Astyanax mexicanus: one gene and its partner. The protein of the gene in region 2 purifies or fractionates together with the protein of the main gene of each other region. This does not show direct contact. Links are inferred from orthologs where the notes say so. Each region holds a gene or a part of one and is shown on either strand. Other genes may lie near its edges.

Region 1 (8,032 bases), on a different chromosome or scaffold from region 2:
GCTGACCACCCTTAAGCTTTAGCTGAGACCAAGAAACAGCCAAGAGCAACTGATCTAAAGATCCTCAAAGACGTGCAATGGGAAAGAGGTTCTAGTGACTTAGTAATTTAAGATCGTGCAAGCCAATGCAGTGCCCTAAAAACAAATAAAAGAACTTTACAATTGGACCCGGTAGTGAACAGGGATTAGGCCTAGTCCTAGACTACATTTTCCTTTCAATCAAAGACTATATTTTCTGACACATGTATTTAATTAAGGGCATTAGCTTTTGTCCCACTTGGACACTTTTATAGTAACTGAGGCAGAAGATATTATTTAAATACTAAAAGGAGCCAACATGTCATTGTCACTACCAATGAATATTAAACCATAACATTGTACGTATGTTTCTACAGTAGTTACCAACATTATTATTGTTCCTTTATGCATGGCTGGGTGTGGTTATCTACAAAAGAAACCTGCAGGTACTGAAACTTATTAGTACTTTTTAGTTCATTGAGAAAAATATAACAATTGATGGACTGACTGTTTTCAACATATCCATGAAATGTTTATTCATCATTTGTGTAACTCTTGTTTTTGCCAGGTCCTTTAACAATCATGGTTTGTTTTGACCATTTGCAAATTCAAACACATCCCATTTTTATTGTATATTTTTTCCTCTGATGTCCAGTCCTGACATCTATGTGGATCCACATATAAAAATAAGTAATTCCTTTTAATAATTATTTAAATTATTTTAATAATAATAAAAAAAATATTATTATCATAATTATGTTTCACAATGAAGTAAATTTATTTGTAAGCAGGTGTCTTTAAGACCAACAAGTCAAATAAGGCATGGTTCTTTGGCAAAATCTTACATCCAGGGAGTCCGTATTGAGTCTGTTGTGTCTGTGTTCTAGGTCATAGCACCCTGTAGAGATGTATTTGTTTGAGGAAATCTAGTTCTGTGTCACTTTGCAGATAAGCACTGTAATCAAGCAGCACTTCCTCTAACCAGTGTCCAATTTCTGTTAGTCCCTAAAACACAGAAAACACAAAATCAGCAGAATACAAAAATATTAAATAACCTTACCACACCTTAAACTGCCTACATTAAGCATTTTCCTTGCTCTCAGGTTTGTCAGTTTATTCTTTGTTGACATTTATAGTGTTAGATACAGCACAGTGCATTAGACCAATAAATCACATTAGTCTATTATACCATTACATCACTCTGGACTAAGGCATCTTCCAAAAGCCATATTTGCATATGCAATTTATGTGTAAATCTATTTTTTTTAACCTCATACCTAAAGGTTTTACAATTATGAAGACATTCTTTAATAGGCAAAAAATATATATGCTCACGTTGGATGCTTGTAGCGAGATGAGGGCTTCTTGAATGCTGGGAACAGTTACCAACAGTGCACCCTTTTTCAGAAAATTTTGGCTAATAAAGTTCCAGGCTCTGTTTAAAACAAGTGAAGAAATTATGATGAGTAAAAACTGAAGATGAATGAGTAAAAACAGTTGACAAATATGTACACTTTCAGTGGTTACAAATCCTTATAATAAATGACCTTGTCTGAGGTCAGTAAAGCCTGCAGTTTTTATGAGCATATCTGGAATCTTTTGTCACTTCCTGGAAGACTTTCTGTTGCTGGAGGAATTTTGGTAGGCCAACCAGTATGTATAGTTTATAAATGTAGTGAATTGGTTGACTGAGTAAGGAAAATTCCACTTCTCGTGTGTGAATTGCAGGCTAAAGATCTGAAGATCAAACCTAAAGCCAAACATTTCCTGGAGGAGCGTTAAGCAAACTGCCATCAAATACATTTGGTGAACTGTAGTGGCATTTATAATTCAGAATTAATCACCCAAGACCCAGACCTGTTTTGATGCTCTTTTGTGTTTTGAATGCATTGTCAACAAAAAAAATCCTTCCTGGACTGTTACTGACATAACAGAAATGTAAATGCCAGAGAAAACATTTGAATGTATTGTACATCATACTCATGACAACATCCTAAGTTTATAGCAATGGATGTAATCAACAGTTTTATTATGAACCTGACTGTATTCATTCATTTAAAACGACAAACCAAAAAACAAGAGCTATTATTGTAGGATTTCAAATAAAATGTATTGTATTTATATCTAACAAGTCAAGACATGAACTATTAACAATACAAATTAACGTTTATTTGACTGCACTAACTGAAATAAGTGTACAAATAACTGACTTACTTTGCTTGGTCTTTGGGTTCCATAAAATACTCAAACACATTATTCATAATCAGCACATCTGCATTTTGCACTAAGGCAGCCTGTGTGCAGATATCAGCATGAATCACCTGAGGAAGGCACACAGAAATAGCAAATCATGGTACAGCATGTCAAGGTAAGTGTAGCAGTGACAATGGTAGAACTGGTGTAAAAAGGTGCACTACCTGAATTCTGTCACCGAAAGCGTACTTTTCCACAACCATTGTCTGAAGCTTGACAAACTCTTCACTCATTTCTACACCAACAAGCCGTGCTGCTGAACTGTAGAGGTATCCCTATTAAAAAGGAGATGATCCGTTTAATGTGTACTTTAATTACTAAGTGAATAAAGGTGTTAAAAGGGCCTTATATCTACAAGATAGCAGCATTATTCTTGTTTAACTGAATGTAGTGCTGTGTGACAGTATACTCAATGTTTTTTAATGTGGCAATAGACTGTGGTGCATATGTGACAAAACGTTTTGGATTACTCTACCCCATAGAGCACTGTTCCCAGCCTCGAACCCACATCCATAACCAGTCTTCCAGTCAGGTCAGGGAGAACATGATGAAACAAAAACCGGAGCTCCGACACAGAAAATGAATGTGAGATGAACTCTGTAGGACATAGCAAACTGAGTTTAAAAACATTTCTACCACATTTATCAAATATGACTGAGTTAAAAATAATAGAAATGTTGTTTACCCAGGGGAGCTGTGCTATGCGATCCGCAGTTGAGACAGTAGTTGCGACTCATTTTTCTCTCCTCACAGAGAGAATCTACTGTTTCCTCATCATACAGAAATGCATCCACATGCACTGTTGGTTTAGAGGTCTGCTGGGTCTGCAATGAAAATGGAAATCAGATGTCATGACAGTTTACTTATCATATTAAAGGCAATAAAAGTATTAACATGACGATAGTCACAGAATGAAAATGAGGACCTTCTGAATGGCCATGGTCTCTGAAGGAAACATAGCCTCCAAGGGGAGACAAGGCCTGAGGTCCTCTGCAATACTCATCAGTATGGCCTTTTGATTGTCAACCAATAAGTCATCAAGATCATCTGAAACAGAAGTTACAGTATATGGGTATAGATTAACTGCACTGTATCCAGCCTTATTTGTTACATGCAAACATATAAATTAAAATGAATAGCACTGGACACAATCCTACTTAATGGAAAAAAAAATAATAATAAATAGGTAATCTTATGCTGCAACATGTAAAATTACTCAATAGTAGACACTTTAGGGTCTCAGCTGTAAGACAAGGAGCATACTAGTAATATATATTGCAAGCTGTCTACAAATTAGTCTAGAAATAACACCAGCGACACAATCATAGCTCTGTTTCTCTAGTTAAAACTTAAATTACAGATGACTGTGATGCCTTTAGATTATAGATACCAGCTATGCAATTATTACTAGCAATAATGTCATATCTGAGATATATGAAGATTAGTCATATGACCAGGATGATATATCCATACAGCACTGTCTACTGCACTGTTTTATACCCTTTGTATGTTTATTCATTCTCTTGTTTTTTATGAGTGTATTTTGCTGCTGTCTTTGTGTATTGTTGCTGCTGAGATCAAAAGTATCTATCTATCTATCTATCTATCTATCTATCTATCTATCTATCTGTAATTACATTTTTAAATTGCTGTATGTTACCATTGATATATCTAGAATTTTACTCTCTTTTAAGCAATAATTATATATTTCTAGTACAAACTCCAGTAACAGATATCTATAATTAATTTCTAAAAAAACATACATTCAATAACACTGATATCAATATTGACGTAAAAAATCCCAATTATGGATATCTATAATTATATCACAGATCACATAGCCTACACCTATATTACTACTAGTGCAAACTACGTCAGATATGAATTAGCCCTGGTATTATGACTAGCCACATCTGATAAACATGTCACAGCTGATCTGATCTGATAAAGTTTTCATTACAGAGACCCATAATTTATAACTTGCATCATTGGTGTCATTTCAGACTAAAGTACTTGCCATAAACTTAAAGAAGAGTTTAGTTAGGTTAGCTAAGCTAGGTTAACTAGTTTTCTGTGACATACTATACATTAAATAATTACCAGAATTTTTCAACCAATCGATTATTTTAGCGAGCTCCTGCGGATCCGTTCTGCCTAATGTCTGAAGAATTTCATTCTTAGCCTCGTTAAAGTTCATTTTCCTTCACAGATCAGAGGTTTAGCTAAGAAATAACGTTACATGCAGCGGTAGCAGTGACTGGAGGAACACGTGAATCCACAACACCTCAGTCTAGGGGAGGAGCCAAATATGCCCTTAGTATTTTTAAGGTGGATCTTCATATATAGCGGAGTCACATTATTTAGTAATAATACAACTCGTTTGCGCTTAAAAAAAGGGTAAATATGTTAAATTACTTATCAAAAATAATATTTATTTTAGATAACCCACTATTAACAATGTAAAAGAACCGAGAGGACACACATCAAATATATTGTAGTATTTTTCCTGAAGCAAATCCACCTTAAGAGCGAATGTGCGCTGAACGGTTTCGATGGCTTTTGATATTGATTAAACAGCGAAAGAGGGGGTCGTTTAATCTTGTTTTTTCCGTCGATTTTTTCACTTCGAGTATGAGTATGAGTACAATAATAGCTAACGCTCTATAGTTAGCTAGCTAATTTTCGCTGTAGCGAATACACTAGCAGCCACTGATTCTAGGTCAGTTTTGTTTTCCTGTCTCTCTACACTCGTTTCTAGCTGAACAGGCTGAACGAATAATAACTGACTCCAGATCAGCGCACTGAGTCCCAGCGTTACCTCGGAAGTAGAAAGGGTTTATGGGAGTTTTGTGTGTTAGCTGACGTCTGCCTGCTTTCTACTGAACCAGCTGTGTCGAAGGGAGCTAAGGTAAGAAGCTAACCCTCTAATAATAATATTAACATTAATAACCATATAAACACACACTTATATCTTCAACGAGACAGTGACGCTGTAGGTATCTGTGTTTTACATGGATCTGTACAGGAGATTAGGGCTGTCCTGTGTTTTGGACCGGTCTTGGCGAGTCCAGGATACTGTGGCTAGTTAGCTAGCAAACGCTAACGCTAAAGCTAACTAGCCGTAGAAAATAACATCCAACCATATACATGTAGTTAACTGCTAAGCTAGTTAGTAAGCTAGCTAGCTAACCACGGTATCTTAAGTTACTATACACTAAAATATTAGCTAAGTGTGTTACTCGCATTATTTCACTTTACCTCATCCAAATATCATGTATTTAACTAGTTAACCTAACTAGCGTACAAATCACACAAAACTATCATTAGCCATCTGTGATTGCAGTCAGCGGTAGATGAAAAGCAACAACAAAAATCACCTGGCCAATTCAAAGTGGTTAGGCTGGCTGATCAGAACTGGATATTTCTGTTTAGATCTTATACAAGCATGATCAACCTGACAAACAGTTAATATGACCAAGCTTAAACAAGCTGGTTGACTAAAATTAACACTAACCTAGCTTTTAAGATGGTTAATCATAACAGCACCTCCAAGCTGATCCAACAACATGTCCAGCAAGACCAAGCATGGCCAAAGTAGCCAAATGCAATAAAAAACAACCTACACATTGCTGGCCAAGTGCTAGTTAACCAACTAGCCTAGTATGTTTTAATCTTAGACCGTCAAGTCAGTTGTGTACAGGTAAATTGTGCGGTGAAATTACGTTCCTCCTGGACATTGGTGTAACATGGGACAAACAATACAACATAGACAACAAAATGCAAACGTGCAACAAAATGTGCAACATATACCTAAAACAATACAATAAATACAGAAGACACAAAAACCACAGTACACATTTAAAAGTTGAGGTGAAGTAAGGTGTAACATGCTATAACATATAGGTCATACATGATTTAAACTAGCTAATAAGTTCAGCGTTCAGTCACCTCAATCTTGCTCGCCTCAAACAGCTGTTTATTTACTGAAAATAAGAGAAGTTTGATAAAAGCCCTAACTTAGATGTTTCTGACACTGGTTCTTTTATTTTTTCATGTTTAAAAATATTGACTTAAAATATTAAGGAGGAATTAGAATGAGGTTCTTTTCATTTGCATGCAGCATTGTTTTGTCACACACAACACTTTTCAATTAAATAAAGAAGTACTATATTGGATTAATTTCCAATTGCCTTCTAGATTGTCTATATGAATTTTGGAAAGTAGCAAAAAAAGTGTTAATGTTGAAAATTTTGCTCAATAAATAAATATAACTTTTTTGCTCTTTGTGTAATTGGGTAACCTTTTTGCCTACTTCCAGGACAAAAAACAAGGCTATATTTATACATGCATACAGTGGCTTTAGTATCAGAGTGACCGAGTGACAAAAAATATTATTATTTTAAGATTACTGAAGGATGTACTACAAAGTACAAAATGTGTATAATAAGACTATACTAAACATTTGCATTTTATATATATCTGTTCATTGTTTATTTATCATGTTTATGTTTATGTTATCAAAGTGCTACATTTTATTATATTTTGAGGGTACCAAATGCACTTATTTAAAGCAACAGTTATCAGGCCTACAGTCTAATTAAAGCTTATGTTTTAATATTGGTACCACTCAAAATGACTTTTTTTTTTTTTTTTTTTTTTTCTAGAACAGACGGCAACATTGCAACTCATTTGCTGGATTAATCGGGTCATTCGCACCCACACACACACAACTACAGAAGAAGAAGAACTCTGAACGGGGGAATCCCCCACCTTAGCGAGGAGGTTGCCTTTGTCTAACACGTATGGAAATATCTGATGTATATTTATAACTATACCCACTGTCAGTAAGTGCAGAAAATCAGCATCCTATGTCTTCCATCATGTTACAGGTCGCCTCTTCCTAAACTGCAAACATGGTGTTAGCTGACTTGGGGAGGAAAATCACCTCCGCGCTGAGATCTCTCAGCAATGCCACCATCATCAACGAGGAGGTAACTGTTCTCCAACATATTAACATATTTCTGTGTCTATAAAATCTGCTTTAGATCTAGAAATGTCTGTATTTACTGTTCACATTTATCATCTTAAATAAATCTTCCTTAGGTTTTGAATGCTATGCTTAAAGAAGTATGTGCAGCCTTACTGGAAGCTGATGTCAACATCAAATTGGTAAAACAGCTGAGGGAGAATGTCAAGTAAGTTTAATATCTTTAATTTTGTGTAAAAATGATGACTGCCTTCTTCATCAGTGAAAATGCTTAGTCATATTTTCCTGTTCTCAGGGCAGCCATTGATCTTGAGGAGATGGCCTCTGGGCTGAATAAGAGAAGAATGATCCAGCATGCTGTTTTCAAGGAGCTTGTCAAGGTTTGTGCCATTTTAGAGCAGACTAGCCTATGTTTTGGACGTGCATGACTCTGTAGTTAATGTCTTTGCATTATGTAAGTTTTAAAATAGTGTTGCATTACGTAAACATTTTATTTACATGGTCACATTGCCCTTTGCGCCCCAAAAAAATAAAAACAACACAAACTCTGATAACAATCATCATTTATGTTATCAAAGTGAATCGGTCTATATTAGGGCTTAACAGGGGAATGCCATGTTGCATTTTGTTATGTTTAGTATTGTGACATTTTCTAAACTCAAGGAAGTGGTTAGTGTATACTCTTCTAGGCTTGAACACTGAACATAGTGGCCCAGACTGTCGTTGTATTGAACATAGTATATGTTATATTCTCATTAATATATTACATTTTCC
Region 2 (7,039 bases):
ACTTCCACAAGGTTACCAGGGTGACTCCTTTGTTCAGTTAAACTTTCCTTTAAGCTAAGACATCAGCCAATTTCAGTCTCCCAGTCCTCTTCTGAGTTGTCAACTACGGGGCTTGGTGTCAAATTCCCCTCCTCACATTCACCTGTTTCCTCTTCATCTTCCTCCTCTTCACCCTCATCAGGTAGTATAATAGCATCTCTGTCAGTATCCAGCTGCACACGCGAGTCGTCCATCAGAGCCTGTCGAAGTCTGTGGATGTTTCCACACAAAGCCTGCACTTTGGGGTCAGTCCACACATGTTGCAGAGGCACAAAAACATGGCTTCTGTGCCTGTATACCACTGTGCTCCCCGCCACAACGTCTGGTGGTAAACTGTGGGCACATGCAGTGAGGTCAGACTGCATGCTTTGCTCACCCAACTCAAATTCCCTTTTCAGGCTCTCTGCCCTGTAGAGGACTTGACAAACCAGAGTCCTCTGGAAGATGTTGTTGTCACACAGGCTCGGGTAAACCACCCTGTAGAGCTAATGGGGATGAACATGAAAGCATTTCTATTAGATACACTTGCTATGTATTGACATTTTATCTGCTATATGAAACCATGTAGGGAACAACCACCATAAAGAGGCCACTTTACCAGTCTGTAAACTGTAGGTTCCATTTGCACAGCGTTGTTCACGGGTCCATTTGATACCCCAGCATCTCTTTGGAAAACAGCAATTTGGGTGCAGAATCCAACATCTCTGTTCTGACCTGGAGCCACTCCTACGCCAGTGAACTCTACTGAGTAACCATATTCCATGCAAACTCCCAGTGCCCTAGTTGTGAGAGAGAGGTGTAATAAAGTTTTCCTGAAACAAAGGAATACTTGCCTCAAAACCATGATGAAAAGTACACTACATATCCAAACACAACTAGTGAATGGTATATATTTTACGATTCACAGAAAAGCTTTGCTTAGCTGCAAACATACAAAGTCCACACAACATTGAACAGGGAAATTTTGTGTTTTCTGAAGAGATTGCATTTCAGCAAATACTTAAGGATGGGTTGGGATGAGTTGGAGTGGATTTAGTCATCCAGACCTATTCATATACATACAGTTGTTTTAAAATAAAAATGTTTGCCACCTTCATGATTTTTTTTGTCTCTCTTACATGTTTCAGATAATAAAACATAAAAGTAACACCACATTTCAGAAAAAGAACACCATACCTACAGTAAAACATGGTGGTGGTAGTGTGATGGTCTGGGGCTGTTTTGCTGCTTTAGGACCTGGAAGACTTGCTGTCATAAATGGAACCATGAATTTTGCTGTCTACCAAAAAATCCTAAAGGAGAATGTCCTGCCGTCTGTTCATGACCTTACACTAAACCAAACTTGGGTTCTCCAGCAGGACAATGATAAAAAAAAAAAAAAACAGTTCAACAAGTCCACTTCTGAATGGCTGAAGAAAAACAAAGTGAAGACCTTGGAGTTGTCTAGTCAAAGTCCTGACCGAAATCTTATTGAGATGCAGTGGCATGATCTTATAAACATGAGCGACAAACATGCAAAACAGTTTTACACAATATCCTAGTGTTAAGGCTATAAATGTTCAAATGAGGGTGTAACTGCAACAAAGTGGGTCTGAATCGCAATGAATTTTCTTGATGTATGTAGAATGACAAAATCTTACCAAGTCTGAAACTCTGCTCGGGTCCACTCAAACTTGTGGTCTTTGTTTCTGAATCCCCTTAATCCCGGGAGCAAAGGATTGAACTCTACATTGGGAGTGCTGATGATCACAGCACAGGGATTCATATATCCAAACACAACATTGGAAAAACCCTCCACTTCCCAAAGCTGGAGGTGTTCAATCCTTTAAGACAAAAAACACAAAAGGAAACAGATGACTGTAGCTGGTGATTATTTCAAAATTGTACCACTCAGAGTACTAAAGCTTATGATAGTATTGTACAGGAAGTCCAGACATACTCACAACTCCATACATGTCACAAGGTCAAAGCCCTGGGTGCATGGCTCCCTTTCTGTGACTGACCCTTGGTAGAGTTCAATGGTCAGAGGCCTGGGACTTGGCTGAAGGTAGTCAATTGTGAGTGGGGCCAATGCATTCCTAAAAAAAAAACACACATGCCCAGAATTTACAATTTAGATTTAATATACTCATATCTAACAGAGGTGCTATTGAATCCAATATTAAAAACAAGAGTTTAAACATTTTTCTTAGAACTTTGAACGTGAAGAAACACTACTACTTATTTGTTGAGAGTTGACAGAAATGTAACGGTTTGATCTGAATTTGAACACATGAGTGCTTACAAAGTGGACCTCCAACCAGTCCTGAAGCCTTCTAGACTGTCCACATTTATGCTCACAACATCTGAAGTTTGAGTAAAAATGTGGAAGAATTTTATTGTGAGCCTTTATGTGTTTTATACATGAAGTTATATGGCGTCAAAATAGGGTCAAAAGTTTTGAAAACCCAGTATAATCCATAACCAAGAAATGTTTAATTTTTCATTCGCCATAAAGCTAATGGTGATGAAGTAACTAATGGCAGTAAGTGTATTTTTTAATACATTACCTTACAAAGCATTGTATGTACTTCTCCTATATTAGTGTGTGTTTGTGTTTGTGTGTGTTAGGCCAAAACCAAAAAAGTTCAGGCATGTTTTAGAATATTCATAATTAATTTTATCACACACTTTCTGACATGTAGATTTGTAAGGTGTTAGCTGTAAATAAATAAAGTGTAAATAAATCTGACTCTACATGTTTCTCTGGGATGGACAAATTCAGATCAAACCACTCTGGATTACGTTTACACCTTTAATTTATATAGAATGGTTTTACAAACCTACAAAATTCCTCTTCAGGGTGGTGAAATGTGTTAATGGCTGGAATTAAAATACTCCCCATATTAAGCCATGATTCAAGCTATAGCTTAATTTAAGAATGTTTTTAATGCATTACTGAACTAGTCCTACAGTCACTCACACTCTCTCTCTGAGGGCAGCGCAGTCGATGTCGACTCCTGCCAGCACTTCTATAGCGTTTCGGTGGAACTTGAGCTTCCTCAGGAGCCCACAGTCAGCACAGCCCAGGTCTATCACCTGTGGAGAGGAGGAGAACCGCGGTCAGACAGCGCTTTGAGCAGCTCAGCGGGTCCTCAGCAGATCAGACATGACTGGGATGAGGGTCGTAACACTGGATATACCTTCCTGGGGATGAACCTCTTAACATACTCGATCACAAACTGGTATCTCTGCAGGTAGAGAGGAGGAGAGAAAAGAGCGGCCATCCTGTCAGAACCGTTTCTGCACATATCAAAGAGAAAAAATAAAGAGTACCCAGACAGAGGAGGATCTGGGCCTTCTACTCTGGACGCAGAGAGCGCCCCCTGTGGTGGACTAATATATACCTCAATTTACCCCTTTTCAGGTTCAGCCAGTAACTGAAATAAAAACTGTGTAACTTGCAGTAATTTATTAGGGCTTTTAAGAAACACAAATGAACAAAAAACTGAAATAAATACACTTTAGCATTTTGGTTAATATACTGTAAAAGTGTATTATGAAAAAGCCTCTTATTCCTTTTTATTATTATTATTTCCAATTTATTGATTAACAGTAGCAATGGAAATAAACTTAGCTTTAGAAATATATTTTTAATAAGAATTTCCACAGCATTTATTTGCAGTAATGAATACCGATACAGATAGCTCTGTAACTATTAAAAATAAATTGGGGAACTATTAGTAAGAAATTGGAGAAAACTGGTACAGTAGGAGGTCAGGCTGACCCACATGGCAATGCCTTTAGCTCAGCTTAACACTGGACTCTTAGATCTCATTACCAGTAGTGAAGAGAAGAATTAGACGCCTGAAGTGCAGTAATTCACGTTATTGCTTTAAAGATGAGAAAATAAAAAAGCATATTGTCTGGGACATTCAGCACTGACACTGGACAACTAAAAACCTGAAAATCTATATAAAGTGGTGTTCTAAAACTTTTTGACTTTAGTATATATAAATATACTAGGATATTCAACAGATTTTTGATCACACTTTTTCAATTCATTGTTTTAGATGTAGGAAAATACACACAGCATCATATATAGCTATCAATTATGTAAACAAATGATTATTTTACAGTTTTATGGCAGTCAAAACCGTACAAGAAACGTGTATAAAACTTTCATTTATCTGTTTTTTTTCTTCAGCCTTACAAGCAATTTTTATATTACAGGTTTTATAAAGTAAAGAAAATATATAAAGTACCCATTTTTACCGCCTAGCGGTTATGAATACATTTTATTCTTCTTATTTTCAGTGCTTTTAATTTGTAATTATCATAAAGGCTTCTCTGATACCATGTGCCTGTATTTTGACATGCTGTGCGTGTGCCTCAGACTAAAATGAGCATGCGCAGAAGAGCATGGCAGCATTGTGAGCTGTGATTGGTTGGTGTCTTTCAATCAGTGAGCTGCTTTTAGATGATGTGGCCCTGTGTGCTGCTCTGTGGTTCTTCTCCGTGGTGTAGAGCAGCTGCTGGAGCTGTAGTTCATGTTAAAGTCTTCAAAAACACTCTCTGCTCTCTGCTCTGACTCGGTGTCTGTCTCTCTGGAGAATGCCTTATTACCAGACGTGGGAGGAGTTCGCCCGGGCGGCGGAGAAGCTCTATTTAACCGACCCGATGAAGGTAAAACCGAGCCGATCTGCTCACCTAGCCTAACCTAGCTTAGCATAATTTAGCTTAAATTAACTTAACTAGCCAGGGACCAGCTGTCTTGTGTTGTATTTCATTTAAAGTTCTTTTACAGTTTCAGTATTTAGTACAGAATGGGGGAGATTACAGTCTCTATCTGTTTGTGAACATGTTCTATACCGCTGTATTTGGTAAAGGAGTCCATGTGTAGCTGTAGCAGAGCTACTAATCCATACAGCTCTATGCCTTATTCTGAGTCTTAGTCTCAGTCTATTCAAAGTCTTTTTAATAGCATGTGTTCTCTCCAAACATGTTTAAGGTCAATAAATGTGTTCTAAAAATTTCGCATAATCGCACAAATTATGATTTAGTCGCTGTTTTAATTATACAGAATAGTGTAAAAGATTTTAGTGAAAATACATATATGAGAATTATACATAATAAAATGAAAACACATGACTACAATTCAGAACTAAGCATAAGCGGTAATGGGTTAAAAAAAGGGAATAACTGTACATAGATTCCTGCTGGAAAATTTAGAATAAAGTTATGCAACGTGTATAAAAAATAAGATTATTATTGAGCCCTCAGTAACACATTCGAAAAAAAGAGCGTTTCATGCTTTCTGTTGCTATACAACAGACATGGTCTTATTTAAATAAATTGAATTGAGTTTGTCCAGTTCATCTAACCTAGCTTTTCTTACACAGATTCTAGCTTTTCTTTTTAATGTCTTTTTTACTGTGTAATGCTTGATTCTTTTATTAACTTTTGTATTTGCCCATTGTCTTTCTTTCTAGGTCAGAGTTGTGCTTAAATACAGACACTGTGATGGAAATCTGTGTATGAAAGTCACTGATAATGCTGTGGTAAGTTTAAGCTCTAGAACACTAATTAATAAATAGAACATTAATGAAATTTCTTATGTGTGTTGATTTAATCACTGTGGCTCATTTCTGGTTTCAGTGTTTGCAGTATAAGACTGATCAGGCGCAAGATGTAAAGAAGATTGAGAAGCTGCATGGGAAACTGATGAGATTAATGGTTTCCAAGGAGTCCCACAGTGGTGCAATGGAAACGGACTGAGTAATCTTTTGGGACTTTTAATTTTTGGATAGCAGTATGTATCTGCTCTGCTGACATTATTTGAAGATCATGGAATTTAAGAGCCCTGTTTTTGGAGTATGACAACTGGGAGGGTAGAGGAAACCGATGTCCTCAGCTGCATTCAGCGATCTCCTCATCCTGATATTTATTTTCTGGTCCCGGTTGGACTTATTATTAGGCAGTGATCTTGTATTATACATTGCTGGGTGACCAGTTTTTTTTCTGATTCTAGGTCACACAGAGCTTGATTAGCTTATACCTGGAAACAGCAACTTTTCAGTTATTTTGGAAGAGTCTTGTTTGTGTTTACTAGCTCCATTCCTGGGGGCACAAATGCACTGCATGATTGTTTGTTCCTGCTTTGAAACAAAATGCTAAATGCAGCTTATAAAGAAGTTGACCATTTTTAAGTTATATGACACTCAGGCAGGAAAACATATCTTGCAGGTGGAGTACAGGACTGGAGCTGGGTCTTTTAGTGATTATGTTACCAGTATGTTGGGGCTGCCAGCAAATACACAAACCTGAACCTTCTGAGAGGTCCTGAAAACTAGTGTCAGAACCACTGATTTGTACTTACTCACTGGACCTTTACTTTCACCCAAGTCTTCTGTTAATGGTGCATACATCTGGAATAAATTTCTTTCTTTTTTGAGATCTGAGACTTTTCTTAAGTTACTGTTTTCCTGCAGAGGTTCTGTTTGTTAAAACTGGTTTGATTTAAGTGTAATGATAAAGCAATAATTTAGCAGACTTCCAATCAGTCAACACAATGAAAATTAATGAGAAATTTGAGTGTTCACGTCCTGGTATTACAACCCTCTGGTATTCTGTTTTAAGTAAATTAAGATAGCTTGACATTAATGTTTGGCATTTTATACCAGTTTACAGATCACCTTCATTGTCTTACTACAGGTACATTGTCCTGCTTAATAGGAGCTAACTTGATTTAGTTGAGTCCTGTAGCTGGGAGAAGTGCAAAGCATTAGTGTCTACCTCATAGTCATTGTCGGTAACTCTTACAAAAGAGGGGGAAAAAATAATAATAATATGAAAACTTTATGATTTTTAAACATTTTAATTAGTCCATTAATTAAGAAACTGCTTGATTGACACGTTTGACACTGTAACAGTTTGGATAAAAAATTGTTTGTGTGACTCCAACAATTTATTAAATGTAAGTTTGCATAAATTCACAAAAATGTTTTTTGCAGCTTTGCCT

What was found. Proteins that work in one complex are often made in the same cells at the same time.
Region 1: the proteins of srp9 (region 2) and srp54 purify together in Homo sapiens (co-immunoprecipitation; 4 studies listed by BioGRID and IntAct, counting the BioPlex papers as one, with this or other methods). This does not show direct contact. The link is inferred for Astyanax mexicanus from reciprocal best matches to the Homo sapiens genes SRP9 and SRP54.

Annotation. Positions count from the first base shown.
Region 1 is NC_064421.1:19,054,715-19,062,746, reverse strand, and holds the start of srp54 (signal recognition particle 54 kDa protein), read left to right. Parts: upstream 1-4,929; 5' UTR 4,930-5,179; intron 5,180-6,935; exon of another isoform or gene 6,936-6,940; 5' UTR 6,941-7,071; intron 7,072-7,160; 5' UTR 7,161-7,184; coding exon 7,185-7,262; intron 7,263-7,374; coding exon 7,375-7,466; intron 7,467-7,553; coding exon 7,554-7,638; intron 7,639-8,032. Other genes in the region: uncharacterized protein zgc:109986, read right to left, coding at 907-1,023, 1,354-1,453, 2,233-2,339, 2,436-2,546, 2,747-2,868, 2,957-3,095, 3,197-3,318, 4,372-4,468. UniProt on the Homo sapiens protein: Component of the signal recognition particle (SRP) complex, a ribonucleoprotein complex that mediates the cotranslational targeting of secretory and membrane proteins to the endoplasmic reticulum (ER).
Region 2 is NC_064408.1:58,149,238-58,156,276, reverse strand, and holds srp9 (signal recognition particle 9 kDa protein), read left to right. Parts: upstream 1-4,486; 5' UTR 4,487-4,632; coding exon 4,633-4,704; intron 4,705-5,510; coding exon 5,511-5,579; intron 5,580-5,676; coding exon 5,677-5,796; 3' UTR 5,797-6,472; downstream 6,473-7,039. Other genes in the region: henmt1 (small RNA 2'-O-methyltransferase), read right to left, coding at 63-524, 638-818, 1,680-1,862, 1,983-2,117, 3,002-3,117, 3,222-3,329. UniProt on the Homo sapiens protein: Component of the signal recognition particle (SRP) complex, a ribonucleoprotein complex that mediates the cotranslational targeting of secretory and membrane proteins to the endoplasmic reticulum (ER).